Xenopus tropicalis: one gene and its partners. The protein of the gene in region 4 interacts with the protein of the main gene of each other region in a biochemical or structural test. Links are inferred from orthologs where the notes say so. Each region holds a gene or a part of one and is shown on either strand. Other genes may lie near its edges.

The links.
Region 1: the proteins of gopc (region 4) and crhr1.2 form a complex in vitro, tested with the Homo sapiens proteins (2 studies listed by BioGRID and IntAct, with this or other methods). The link is inferred for Xenopus tropicalis from reciprocal best matches to the Homo sapiens genes GOPC and CRHR1.
Region 2: the proteins of gopc (region 4) and sstr5 form a complex in vitro, tested with the Homo sapiens proteins (2 studies listed by BioGRID and IntAct, with this or other methods). The link is inferred for Xenopus tropicalis from reciprocal best matches to the Homo sapiens genes GOPC and SSTR5.
Region 3: the proteins of gopc (region 4) and rps6ka1 interact in a test that uses a peptide from one of them, tested with the Homo sapiens proteins (2 studies listed by BioGRID and IntAct, with this or other methods). The link is inferred for Xenopus tropicalis from reciprocal best matches to the Homo sapiens genes GOPC and RPS6KA1.

The regions. Positions count from the first base shown.
Region 1 is NC_030686.2:16,307,654-16,311,696, forward strand, and holds the start of crhr1.2 (corticotropin-releasing factor receptor 1), read left to right. Parts: upstream 1-1,243; 5' UTR 1,244-1,365; intron 1,366-4,043.
Region 2 is NC_030685.2:17,505,564-17,509,538, forward strand, and holds the start of sstr5 (somatostatin receptor type 5), read left to right. Parts: upstream 1-1,175; 5' UTR 1,176-1,739; intron 1,740-3,975.
Region 3 is NC_030678.2:77,585,384-77,589,386, forward strand, and holds the start of rps6ka1 (ribosomal protein S6 kinase alpha-1), read left to right. Parts: upstream 1-1,203; 5' UTR 1,204-1,482; coding exon of another isoform or gene 1,483-1,531; coding exon 1,532-1,545; intron 1,546-4,003. UniProt on the Homo sapiens protein: Serine/threonine-protein kinase that acts downstream of ERK (MAPK1/ERK2 and MAPK3/ERK1) signaling and mediates mitogenic and stress-induced activation of the transcription factors CREB1, ETV1/ER81 and NR4A1/NUR77, regulates translation through RPS6 and EIF4B phosphorylation, and mediates cellular proliferation, survival, and differentiation by modulating mTOR signaling and repressing pro-apoptotic function of BAD and DAPK1.
Region 4 is NC_030681.2:74,174,893-74,178,392, reverse strand, and holds part of gopc (Golgi-associated PDZ and coiled-coil motif-containing protein), read right to left. Parts: coding exon 3,358-3,500; intron 1,917-3,357; coding exon 1,751-1,916; intron 1,501-1,750; coding exon 1,402-1,500; intron 547-1,401; coding exon 382-546; intron 123-381; coding exon 1-122.

The DNA of each region.
Region 1 (4,043 bases), on a different chromosome or scaffold from region 4:
CCTGTGACACTCTACTCACTGTAACCCCCTGTGACACTCTACTCACTGTAACTCCCTGTGACACTCTACTCACTGTAACTCCCTATGACACGCTACTCACTGTAACTCCCCGTGACACGCTACTCACTGTAACTCCCCGTGACACGCTACTCACTGTAACTCCCCGTGGCACGCTACTCACTGTAACTCCCCGTGACACGCTACTCACTGTAACTCCCTGTGACACGCTACTCACTGTAACTCCCTGTGACACACTACTCACTGTAACTCCCTATGACACGCTACTCACTGTAACTCCCCGTGACGCGCTACTCACTGTAACTCCCTGTGACACGCTACTCACTGTAACTCCCCGTGACACGCTACTCACTGTAACTCCCTGTGACACGCTACTCACTGTAACTCCCCGTGACACACTACTCACTGTAACTCCCTGTGACACACTACTCACTGTAACTCCCTGTGACACACTACTCACTGTAACTCCCTGTGACACACTACTCACTGTAACTCCCTGTGACACACTACTCACTGTAACCCCCTGTGACACACTACTCACTGTAACCCCCTGTGACACACTACTCACTGTAACTCCCTGTGACACACTACTCACTGTAACCCCCTGTGACACACTACTCACTGTAACTCCCTGTGACACACTACTCACTGTAACCCCCTGTGACACACTACTCACTGTAACTCCCTGTGACACACTACTCACTGTAACCCCCTGTGACACACTACTCACTGTAACCCCCTGTGACACACTACTCACTGTAACCCCCTGTGACACACTACTCACTGTAACCCCCTGTGACACACTACTCACTGTAACTCCCTGTGACACACTACTCACTGTAACTCCCTGTGACACACTACTCACTGTAACTCCCTGTGACACACTACTCACTGTAACCCCCTGTGACACTCTACTCACTGTGACAGGGCTAGTGGTGACTAAAAAGTAACTTCTCTCACCTGTGTCTGTTCCTCCTCTCCCCCGATATCTCTGTGTATTTGGCCCTTTCCTTGTGCTGCGCAGCTAATCCTGATCCCGTAGAGCCCAAATCCAGCCCATACCTCTCCCCTGACTCCCTGCCCTTCTGACCCTGGCGCTATTACCAGGAAGGGAGCACTGAAACAGTAGTCACAAAATAGAAACAGCAGCTGTCCCAGCAATTCTTTTCTGTAACAGACCCCTCCCTTGCTCTTTTTTCATCTTTACTTCCCCCCATCATTTCATTCCCTTCCAGCGTTTCAGGGCTTGCGTTCCATCATACCCAGGCACCACACTGGTCCAGCTGCACAACCTGGCACTGATATCCAAGATGGCACCCATGGTCTCCCCGCCTCTGACACCCACAGGTAATGTAAATATGAACATACCCTCACACCAGCACTCACTCATTGCACCATACATACACTCACACCAGCACTCACTTATTGCACCATACATACACTCACACCAGCACTCACTTATTGCACCATACATACACTCACACAAGCACTCACTCATTGCACCATACATACACTCACACAAGCACTCACTCATTGCACCATACATACACTCACACCAGCACTCACTCATTGCACCATACATACACTCACACAAGCACTCACTCATTGCACCATACATACACTTACACCAGCACTCACTCATTGCACCATACATACCCTCACACAAGCACTCACTCATTGCACCATACATACACTCACACCTGCACTCACTCATTGCACCATACATACACTCACACAAGCACTCACTCATTGCACCATACATACACTCACACCTGCACTCACTCATTGCACCATACATACACTCACACCAGCACTCACTCATTGCACCATACATACACTTACACCAGCACACACACATTGCACCAAACATATACTCACACCAGCACTCACTAATTGCACCATACATACACTCACACAAGCACTCACTCATTGCACCATACATACACTTACACCAGCACTCACTAATTGCACCATACATACACTCACACCAGCACTCACTCATTGCACCATACATACACTCACACCAGCATTCACTCATTGCACCATACATACACTCACACCAGCACTCACTCATTGCACCATACATACACTCACACCAGCATTCACTCATTGCACCATACATACACTTACACCAGCACACACACATTGCACCAAACATATACTCACACCAGCACTCACTAATTGCACCATACATACACTCACACCAGCACTCACTCATTGCACCATACATACACTCACACCAGCACTCACTCATTGCACCATACATACACTCACACCAGCATTCACTCATTGCACCATACATACACTCACACCAGCACTCACTAATTGCACCATACATACACTCACACCAGCATTCACTCATTGCACCATACATACACTCACACCAGCACTCACTAATTGCACCATACATACACTCACACCAGCACTCACTCATTGCACCATACATACACTCACACCAGCACTCACTCATTGCACCATACATACAATCGCACCAGCACTCACTCATTGCACCATACATACCCTCACACAAGCACTCACTCATTGCACCATACATACACTCACACCAGCACTCACTCATTGCACCATACATACTCACACCTGCACTCACTCATTGCACCATACATACACTCACACCTGCACTCACTCATTGCACCATACATACACTCACACAAGCACTCACTCATTGCACCATACATACTCACACCTGCACTCACTCATTGCACCATACATACCCTCACACAAGCACTCACTCATTGCACCATACATACACTCACACCAGCACTCACTCATTGCACCATACATACACTCACACCAGCACTCACTCATTGCACCATACATACACTCACACCAGCACTCACTCGTTGCACCATACATACACTTACACCAGCACACACACATTGCACCAAACATATACTCACACCAGCACTCACTCATTGCACCATACATACACTCACACCAGCACTCACTCATTGCACCATACATACACTTACACCAGCACTCACTCATTGCACCATACATACCCTCACACCAGCACTCACTCATTGCACCATACATACACTCACACCAGCATTCACTCATTGCACCATACATACACTCACACCAGCACTCACTAATTGCACCATACATACACTCACACCAGCACTCACTCATTGCACCATACATACACTCACACCAGCACTCACTCATTGCACCATACATACAATCACACCAGCACTCACTCATTGCACCATACATACACTTACACCAGCACACACACATTGCACCAAACATATACTCACACCAGCACTCACTCATTGCACCATACATACACTCACACCAGCACTCACTCATTGCACCATACATACACTTACACCAGCACTCACTCATTGCACCATACATACCCTCAAACCAGCACTCACTCATTGCACCATACATACACTCACACCAGCATTCACTCATTGCACCATACATACACTCACACCAGCACTCACTCATTGCACCATACATACACTCACACCAGCACTCACTCATTGCACCATACATACACTCACACCAGCACTCACTCATTGCACCATACATACACTCACACCAGCACACACTCATTGCACCATACATACACTCACACTAGCACACACTCATTGCACCATACATACACTCACACCAGCACTCACTCATTGCACCTCACATACACTCACACCAGCACTCACTCATTGCACCATACATACACTCACACCAGCACTCACTCATTGCACCATACATACACTTACACCAGCACTCACTCATTGCACCTCACATACACTCACACCAGCACTCACTCATTGCACCATACATACACTTACACCAGCACACACTCATTGCACCTCACATACACTCACACCAGCACACACTCATTGCACCATACATACACTCACACCAGCACTCACTCATTGCAGCATACATACACTTACACCAGCACTCACTCATTGCACCATACATACACTTACACCAGCACTCACTCATTGCACCATACATACACTCACACCAGCACTCACTCATTGCACCATACA
Region 2 (3,975 bases), on a different chromosome or scaffold from region 4:
CATTCCCAGCAGCCCTGAGAGCACAGTCATCCATGGTGCGGTGAGGGGGGGGGGGGGGGGGGGGTTGTAGTTCAGCAACACCAGTAGGACTACAGGTTCATATGTAACTATGTAACTTGACAGGTGCATTATTTGGGAGGTTAGAACAAAACTAACTAATAACTACTTTTTGGTTCTATGCTGAGCATTTGAGCCCCCCTCCCAGGGTAACTAAAGCCTTTTCAGAACCCCCACTCCAATATGACACCAATATATCCAATATATATCCAATGTATCCCATATGACACCTTCCTCTGTATAACATGAACACTCTGTATAACATTAACCCTCTCTATAACATGAACCCTCTGTATAACATTAACCCTCTCTATAACATGAACCCTCTCTATAACATGAACCCTCTCTATAACATGAACCCTCTCTATAACATTAACCCTCTCTATAACCTGAACCCTCTCTATAACATTAACCCTCTGTATAACATTAACCCTCTCTATAACATGAACCCTCTCTATAACATGAACCCTCTGTATAACATTAACCCTCTCTATAACATTAACCCTCTCTATAACATTAACCCTCTCTATAACATTAACCCTCTCTATAACATGAACCCTCTGTATAACATTAACCCTCTCTATAAAATGAACCCTCTGTATAACATTAACCCTCTCTATAACATTAACCCTCTCTATAACATCAACCCTCTCTATAACATGAACCCTCTGTATAACATGAACCCTCTGTATAACATCAACCCTCTCTATAACATGAACCCTCTGTATAACATGAACCCTCTGTATAACATTAACTCTCTCTATAACATCAACCCTCTCTATAACCTGAACCCTCTCTATAACCTGAACCCTCTCTATAACATTAACCCTCTGTATAACATTAACCCTCTCTATAACATGAACCCTCTGTATAACATGAACCCTCTCTATAACATTAACCCTCTCTATAACCTAACCCTCTGTATAACATGAACCCTCTCTATAACATTAACCCTCTCAAGAACTGGATCAATCAAACCCCATTGGATTCACAGAGCCAGACTGGATTAACCTGTGCCTGGCTGATCAGCAGGGAGGTGGAGAGGGGGATGTTCATAGAGAGCAGGGTGTGTGTGTATTTCTCCTGGTTCAGGAGGGAAGGACACCCTGAGCAGCAAGCTAATATATACATTAGCAACGGCATCTAATCTCCACACCTCAGGCTGCAGAAGCACAGACAGGAGTCGCAGCAGATGCACAGACAGGAGGAACAGAAGCACAGACATTAGAAATAAAAGGACAGACAGGAGGAACAGAAGCACAGACATTAGAAATAAAAGGACAGACAGGAGGAAAAGAAGGGCAGAAAGGAGGAATATAAGCAGCACTTTGTACTGCAGAGAGCTATGAGCTGCCTGTAGAACTGTACCTGCATGTCCGTCACAGAGGCGCTAATAGCACCTTTCCATTGCGCTGCCCACATGCCCTGTGACAGTGATCCTCACTCGCTTGCCCTCCCATTATAAGCGATGCGCTCACCTACCGCCATGGGATTTGTCTGTTCGGCAACCACAGATACGCAAGGAGCGTTGCGCTGCGTCTTGGCGCAGGAGAATTGGTGACTGGGCGCATCGGAGACACCGGGCTGGGAGGCAAGGCTGGGAGTGCCCATATCAGCCTGAGAAGTGGCCAGGTCTCGCCACAGATGGGGAGTCGCAGATAGACAGACGCAGCCAGAGGAAGGTAAGTTTGGCGAATTGGCGTTGGTTTTGCATTTCGGCACCGAGTTGGCATCAGTAGCCCGATCTGAAGTTCTAATTGCACCAATAATAGGAATAAGTGCTTTATTTTCTCTTAAAATTCCCTAAGGCTGAGAACGCCAAGTGTCGCCTGCGACCGCTAGAGCTGTAAGGGAGCTGGAGTCGCCGACTGCCCGACACCCTGCGGGGACTTGTGTATCCCCTGAACATGGTCATTGCCGCTGGCTGCTATAAAAATTGGTATACTAAGTTGGGAGACTAAGTTGCTATGAGAGGGACAAGTCGCACACACAGTCCAGCTAATCAGACACCTGTAGCTGTCGCAGCGATTGCCTTTCTGCATTGGAATTTTGTTTGTGTTTTGTTTGCAATTACGGTTTTTTTTGTCACCTTCACAACCGTTTGTAATATACTTCCCCTGTTATATTGTCGCACTTTCCCCAGTAGCATTCCTGCATCAGACGCTTGTTGCTGGAATTAACACTTTCATTCAAACACACTGATACCCACACACGTCTACACACCCACATATGCACACACAGACATATTCACACACACACACACACACACACAGACATATTCATACACACACATACAAATCTCTGTAGTATGAACACACACTCCCCTGCCTGCCATGCCACACACTCACACACACAGACATATTCATACACACACACACACAGACATATTCATACACACACACACACACACAGACATATTCATACACACACATACAAATCTCTGTAGAATGAACACACACTCCCCTGCCTGCCATGCCACACACTCACACACACAGACATATTCATACACTCACACACACAGACATATTCATACACACACACACACACAGACATATTCATACACACACATACAAATCTCTGTAGAATGAACACACACTCCCCTGCCTGCCATGCCACACACACAGACATATTCATACACACACACAGACATATTCCTACACACACATACAAATCTCTGTAGAATGAACACACACTCCCCTGCCTGCCATGCCACACACTCACACTCTGTTCATTATAACGCTCTCCCTGACCTACTACAACTCATTAGCCCAGACACTTGCCAAGCTTATTATGTCGCCCCATAATCTGTTCTAATGGTACCATTAGGGGGTTCTGTTATTGCCCAGTTAATGCCCTAGGTATCCAGGCATGGCTCTCCCTATGGAAGTCTGTGCCTCAGGGCCCTGCTGGCCAGGCAGTTCCCACTGTTCCTTCCAGACACTGATTATTATAGAAAATACCAAGCAGCCACCACTAGATCTGATTTTAATTAACCCCTTCCTATAGGCATAAATAACAGTGCGTCAGTCTTTATCTTCCTGCTGGCAGGCAGGGGGTTAAGTCATGAAAGAACATGATATATGACTTGTGAGGAGCAGTAGCACAGTGCATATATGTCTTGTCAAGATAAGGCCCCCCCCCCATGCCTGTCACCCAAGGGAACCAGAGCTAAATGTTCTATATTCCTTCCTTATCATACCCCGCACATACTGTTTGCTCTTGGGCTCTTTAGTCTGCAAATGGCAACATCTCAGCCTCTTTGCATTGTGTTTCCCTTCCCTTATGTGCTGCCAGCTGGATAGAGATTATACTCTGATCATCTGTATTCCACAATCAGTGCATATAGATATTAATGGTGCAGCCTGCACTGATTTCTAAGCAGCCCGGCCAACTTCTTTCCATAATAGAAAGCTCCTGTTTATATAGTTCCAATGTTTATAGCACCCAGAACACATAGACCAATTATCAATAATTTCTTTACTGAGAACTTTCAATTTGATATTTAATTTCATTTGCAGTTGGTCCTTATTTAATCTGTTTTGTATTTTTTAACTATGTTCTTCAGCTATCCAGTATGGCATTGCAGCTGTTCTCTGACTGCTTCTCTATTAGTGACCATAGCAACCAGTTAGTGGTATGAATGCCAGAGTGGAGGATGAGCATAGGAAGGCAGGATAAACCTATACAAAGGGCAATAGATACATTTACCCTTATATTCAGTCTTTCAGTTACTCAGATAATTATAGAAAAGCCCCCAACACTCTGAATTCAGAGAGGGGCATGTACGGGCGCAGCATTAGAACAATAATGGAGCAAGGTAAAAATTTTAAAAATTGTGCACTATTTTTGCACTTTGCCCCTAGCACAGCACTGTGGAAGATGTTATTGGGGGTACCCAGCACAGCAGGGGCACCAAGG
Region 3 (4,003 bases), on a different chromosome or scaffold from region 4:
CTACTACCCCATGGGAGGGGCAAGGAGCCAGGAGTTGTGTGGAGTCCCTGACAAAGGTTACAGTGTAATATCAAGTCCCAGGGTGGGAGTTATAGTCCCACATCACCCCTGGGTGGAGGCATGCCATTAACAGTGAAGACTCCCTGTTACCCCCATAGTAAGTGGGGGCTCACGACTTCTGCGCCAGAAGTAAGCCAAGAGGGCACCAGTAGCAGCACTGCCAGCTAAAGTGGGCTACATATGATTTTGGAAGTCTTCCTTAGGACTCAACGGCACTCTACAGATCCAACCTGGCCAAAAGAAAGTCACGATACCAAAGCTTGAATGAATTCCGAAATGGTTGTAGTCTTTGTGAAAAATATGACTTTTTGTGGAAGTTAACTAAACCCACGAAAAAGTTGTGGAATTTTAACGAAATTATCGTGGGCATTACAAAAATTTTGATTTTTTTTTTTCTCAAAAAAAAAAAAAAAAAGCGTGGTTTAATGAACGGCCCCTAAGGGGCACATTTACTAAGCCACGAACGGGCCGAATGCGTCCAATTGCATTTTTTTCGTAATGATCGGTATTTTGCGATTTTTTCGGAAAAATGTCGCGACTTTTTCGTTACTAATACGATTTGTGCGAAAAAAACGCAAGTTTTTCGTAGCCATTCCGAAAGTTGCGCAAAATCTGGCCATTTTTCGTAGCGTTAAAAGTTGCGCAACTTTTCGCGCAAGCTTTAACGCTACGAAAAAATCGGGCGATTTTGCGCAACTTTCGGAATGGCTACGAAAAACTCGCGTTTTTTCGCGCAAATCGTATTGGTAACGAAAAAGTCGCGACAATTTCCGAAAAGTCGTGAAGACGCTGAAAAAATCGCAAAAAATACGAAAAAGTCGCAAAATGTTCGTTTTCAAGTCGGAATTTTTCCAATTCGGTTCAGATTCGTGTCTTAGTAAATGTACCCCTAAGTGTTGTACAAGATATAAAAGCGATTGTCTCACTCAGAACCGTACTATTCTTACGCCTCATGCCACAAGATGGCGCACTTAGCGAAACGTTGCCCATTCTTTCCCGCTTAAATCTTCGGAGTAGTAAAAGCAAAGATTCACCTGAGGGAATGCGGAATGGGTTAGTACCAGAAACACCGCCTTTTCTGAACAAGGGGCCAATTGACAGCTTAGAAACCGGGAGGAGCCAATAGTAGGCGGGCAGGGCGGCACGTGCCCTTCTGTCAGTGAGTTAGGAGGAGTCAAGCGGTCAGTCTGTCGCCGGACACCGAGTAGTGTAGACTAAGTGCGAGAGGTGCAGGCGTTATAGCGGAAAAAAAGGACCTGGACTACGCAGACCCTACGTATCATAAATAATTGTCGATAGTAACTTAAACAGTGACTGAAAGCTGGAATCTTCGTATTTAATTATTTTGCGTTTCAAGCCGTGCAGGGTGCGCAGCGGTGTCCCTGCTTTACGTTGTGTAGCACCTGAGAGAACGCGTTGAAGATGCCGCTGGCACAACTAGTGGATCTTTGGCCCGAGGTGGAGGTGGTTCATGAGGAGACGGAGGTGAGAACTGTCAGTTGCGGACGAGGTTTCGAAGCTGAAGCAGTCAGAAAATGTTGGAGGGGGGGAGGTAGCAGTGTTTTCTGATTACAACCAATCAAAGCTACTTACGGTTAGAATAGGTCTTTTAGAATAGCATGGGTTCGTGTGTATGTGTTGCTGCCGCATTCTCTTGCGTCTCTTCATAAGAGAAAGACTGTGCGTGTTACCTGATGGCCTTCAGCTCTTTATGGGCTGCCGATATTCGTCACAATTTCAGTCATGCACTTCTTTCAGAGGTGGTGTATATTTACTATTTCTGAGCCCCCCACCGCGGAATTCAATTAGAGGCTGCACATCTTATGTTTCCCTACTGCAGAACTTGTGGTCACAGGTCGCACATCCCTCCTGCTGTTGAAGCCGCTGATCAACAGCCATTGACTGATCTTGGTATATATTTAATGTGGAACTGTATTCTGTAGCAATCCACCTGTTGCTGAATCTGCAGTTCCAGCCGTCCCCCACAGTTCGACTGTAGTTAGCAAGCAGCTGTAGAACGCAGGTTGATGTCCTCCTATACATTGACATTTGTGTTCATTAATTATGTTTTGAGAGATTGAGAGCTTTTATTTCAATAACTATATTGCAATAAATCCCTTTTTAATACAATATTCATTTTGTAAGATCTTGTGTGCCTTAGAACACAGTGTGACTTGAACATGAACTAAATTTCCTTAATGCTTCAAAAAAAAAAAAAAAAAAAAAAAAAAGATCCCAACTGAATTAAAGATTAGCACATCTAAAATATTTGGAATGCAGGTTCGGGTATTGAACCTGTTATCAAGAATGCTGGGGACCTGGGGCATTCCGGATAAGGGATCTTTCTGTAATTTGGATCTCCATACCTTAAGTCTACTAAAGGTGGCCATACACGAGCAGATCCGCTCGCTTGGCGATGTCGCCAAGCGAGCGGATCTTCCCCCAATATCCCCACCTACGGGTGGGCGATATCGGGGAGCCTTTAGGTAAAAAAAAAAATAATCCGATCGTTTGGCCCTGGGGCCAAACGATCGGATTATGTGGGCGGCAATGGGGCAGTCGGATCGGGGACCGCATCAACGAGCCGATGTGGTCCCCGATCCGACCGGATTTTCTAACCTGCCCGATCGAGATCTGGCCAATTTCAGGCCAGATATCGGTCGGCCAGGCTGCTCGGCTCTCCCCATACACGGGCCGATTAGCTGCCGAATCGGTCCAAGGGACCGATATCGGCAGCTATAGTTGGCCCGTGTATGGGGACCTTAAGAAATAATTTAAACGTCATTAAAACCCAATAGGATTGTTTTGCCTCCAGTAAGTATTACCGTAATTATATCTTAGTTGAGATCAAGTACAAGGTACTGTTTTATAATTACAGAGAAAAAGGAAATTGTTTTTAAAAATTAGAATTATTTGCTTATAATGGAGTCTATGGGAGATGTCCTTTCCGTAATTTGGAACTTTCTGGATAACGGGTTTCCGGAAAAGGGATCCTACACCTTTATATACTATTTCAATAGTTGAGCTTGTTCAGTTAAGAAAGTACTTAAATGTAGAAGCACTATCTAGGCAACTCGCTAGCCATTCCCTTTTATAAATATATATTTGGTGTATATGCTGAAGTGGATTCTTTCCACTAGACCACAATAATTAAAACACCCCACATTATATTACACTTTCTTTATTAAAGCAAAGGGCAGAGAGTAAATTTTAACATTTCAGGGTGCTGTGTGTTGATTTTGCTGGTGCAGAACTAGAAGGTATTGCATTGCTAACGGCAGTGGTGCACAAAGGTTTACACTATACACTGGTTAAATGAAATCAAGGGGGAGGATTAGCTAAACATGGAAAAAAAGATATCGCTCCGCAGGCGCACCCAGTTCAGCATGATAAAGAAAGTATGTCTCCTAGCTATAAAAAGAACAAACTATGAACCACGCACACATTACAAAAAAGCAAATTGCCATTAATACCTATCTGCTTTAATAGCTTTGACTGTCAGAGAAAATTAATGCATCTCAAATACTGTTTGTGTTTGTGGTGTTTTGTGTGCAATCAGCAATTAGATTTCAACAGTCCACTACTGTTAGAAAGAGACATGATTGGTTGCAGTTGGCAACTGCACTTTAGTTCTTATGTTTGAGGCACTGCGTGTATAAACATTTCCTGATTACTGACAGTCAAAATTAAAACACTTCTTCCTTCAGTTAGGTCACCTGAAGGGGAAAAAGGTTTACCTCATATTATACTTCTGCATAATTTCTAAGGGTGTCAAAATTAAGAGCAATACTAAAAACCAGGTTTACTTCATTATGGATGTATATACGTAGCATAGCACCCTGTTCACCAACTTTGTTGTTCCATGATTTAAGGTGGCCATACACGTGGCGATCTGACGATGTTTCGTACGACCATCGGTCGCACGAAACATCGTAAGATCCGC
Region 4 (3,500 bases):
TCTTCTAATTCATCGAGATACAAACGATAACGATGTCCACTCTCATCTTCATACTCTACATTTTCATCATCAGAATCTATTTCAGGGGCAACATACACAACCTCAAACTCAATTTCCCCTCTCTAGAAGGTAAACAACACTGGTTAGAAAAAATGTATGAACACATAATTACAGCAATGTATGTGCATATCAGAATGGCAGTACTAACAAGCATATAAAGAAAGCACTATTTGGTTAATTCCTGTGTAACTATATTATATACACCTACAGGATAGTTAATCCTGTTGTAAACTCTAGTGTCAATATACATCCAAGTGTAATTTAAATGCATGCATATTAGAAATCACCAAGGAGTGATAAAGGATGAATCTAAATTATTACCTGCTGAGAGAGAATTGTAACAGCTTCTTTGTGCTTGGCATCCCTTAAATTAATTCCGTTAACTGCCAAAATTGCATCCCCAACATGCAGTCCACCACAGCGGTCTGCTGGCTGTGCTGGGTGGATTTCGGAGATAAGTATTGGAACACCGTGCTCTTTCCCGCCCTAAAATATAACACAAACATCTTAAATGAAAATGTAAAAATCCCTAATTTCCAGCACTTTTCACAGCACAGAAGAGGTCAAACCTTGTGACACATGCATAATAGACTAAGGGGCACATTTACTAATCCACGAACGTCCGAAAAGCGTCTGAATGCGTTTTTTTCGTAATGATCGGTACTTTGCGACTTTTTCGCAAATTGTCGCGACTTTTTCGAGCTCTCAATACGAAAGTTGCGACAATTCGCGAAAGTCGTAATGGCAATGAAAAAGTCGTGACAATTCTCCAAAGGCATAATGGCAATGAAAAAGTCACGACAATTCTCCAAAGGCATAATGGCAATGAAAAAGTTGCAACATTCCACGAAATTTGTTATGGCTATGAAAAAGTCGCAACAATTCGCACAAGTCGTACCGGTTATGAAAAAGTCGCGACAATTTACGGGAAAGTCGTAACGGCGACGAAAAAATCGCAAAAAATACGAAAAAGTCGCAAAATGTTCGTTTTCCAATCCAAATTTTTCTCATTCGGATTCGGAGATTAGTAAATCAGCCCCTAAGTGTCACCACATCCATGCTCCACACCTACTGTGCACCTGAAGTGACATACATATGAAATACATGTGTATTTACAAAGAACATATAGCAGAAGTTTGCCTATGATATGTAGTCACAACTTCATTACAACCACACTTTATATAGTGGTGAGCACATACTCGCCTTTTGTTACTCAGATATTGTACCCATCACTTGTCAAACACTGTTCTGCTAGTAGGATCATATATGTATAACTCCACACAATAAACAGGCTTTGAATGTACAAAGTACTAATAAACATAAACAAGAGCTGTTAATCACCGTGATTGATATGCCAAGCCCTTCGTGATCTTCTTTAGCCAGAATTACTTTTCTGATAGGGCCAACTCCTTGGCTTTTTTTTAAGCAGTCTGGGTCCTGCTGAGACACAAAGATATAATGATTATCCTAAATGCAGAAAGGAGTTAAATAAAAAAACAGAATTGTAAATCTGTTTGCAACCACATCCTGGAACTTATCCTATATTTGTAACAATTCTAGCAGGAGTCTGTCATGATAACAATAGCACTGGGTCTCACCTGCTGGATGCTATGTTATGTGCAACAGCAGGTGTGCAAACACTGCAATAAGGCAGATTAACTGCTCACACACTGTATCTACTGGAACTTACGTGTCCTGGAGGTACCGGCAATGGACGCTTCAGATCATTTCGCCCCCGACAGGCTCGAATAACAGTCTTGTGCCGATGCAAGTGAATTTCAGCCTCAAGCTGATTCCACAATTTGTCGTGAGCAGGGCCCTTCATGTCTCTACCAAGCAACTGAATCTGCTGGACTCTGGAAACAAAATAAAATACCTTTATCAAACACTCTTTCCACTTTTATGTTCTGACAGTAACATTAAAGCATAGCCTTGTACCTGAAAACAAAGGGAATGTTTAGAAAATAACTGCTGCTCCACCTGTTCCTTTCTAGGGGTTATACTTCACCTTGGCGGACTTGTACTTTTTTTTTACTACTCATGAGGGTCAGTGTTTACGTTTTTAAGTGAATATAAAAAGTTAATACACAAATCCATTTTAGAATTAGAATGCAAAAAATAAAATGTCATGTCCCTGGTGTGTTTTTAAGCCACTGGTGTATTATAACAATACTGTAATAATACTGTAGACAGATATTATTGTGCTCAAATGATATTAGTTTTGTAAAATGTATTTAATGGGATTCACACAGGCTGAATTTGGGCACTGATGTTTTTCTCTTTTGTCTGTGCAAATAATGGCTGTATTTCATTTGTTGCGGTTGGTCCACTACAGAGTGTAGGCTGGCTCAACCGCTGTAAACATAGCAACTGGTTAACGCTACAGTGATGGTTCGCCCAAGAATTCATGATTTCTCTCTTTGTTTCATGTGAGTGTAAAAGGCCGACTGGTGAAATCCACTATGTTTAGGCAAGAATAGCTGTATGCAAGTACTGCCCAGAAACCAGTTTATCATTGTTTAGGATATCAGTTTTCCAATATAACTGTCTTTTCTTACTAATAGAGTTTTTGGGATGCAGATATCAAAGCACAGTATGTTTTTTTTTTTTTTTTTCTCCAAGGACAAAAGTTAGTTAAAAAAATTTGTATATATAATTTTAGATTTCTCTATATATATGCATAGTTGGGTAAGCCTGTGCATACAGAGTATAAAATTGACCTCACATGCATATTTAACATTCATTTTGGGAGATACTATAAAATACAAGGTACTCTGAAATAAAAAAAGACTCATTTACCTTATCAGAATGTGTAACTGACACAAGAAAGGTTTTTATGGTTTATGGGGGTTATACATACTGTTTAGTGTCTTGTACTGCTAACCACTTAAAAATAAAAAAGCTATATTTGTAGGTGCCAAAGCGTCCACCTTGAAAGTTTGTATGGACTATTTATATTTTGGGGCTCTGCATGCTAAACAGTTGTGAAATACTATTTATATTTTTGGAAGTTTTGTAGTCTGTAGTAGTTAAGTAGTAATAAAAAACATTTTCAATTCATCAGGATGTGTAGTTTACTGGAGTCTCCTTACCGTTAGGGGGTCTCTTTTAGCCTAAAATTTAAATTATACTAGTATGATACTGTGTCTTAAAAACATAGAGAACTCATCAGCTAAAATGTCTTGACAACATATCCCTGATGAAAAATGAAATCCTTGACATGACTACACACTAATTTATGTTAGGTTATATTATTTTTCCAGGTAAAATAATCATTACAGTAAAGCAGACACTCACCTTCCAGCCAGCTCCTTATCTAGGTACTTGGCTGCCAGTCGCGCCCCATACACTTCTGCCTGCAGAACTGCAATGTGCCTACGAAGGGCTTCATTTTCCTTACGAAGTAATTTCACTTCTGCTTCCAACTGAGCTTCCTTCAC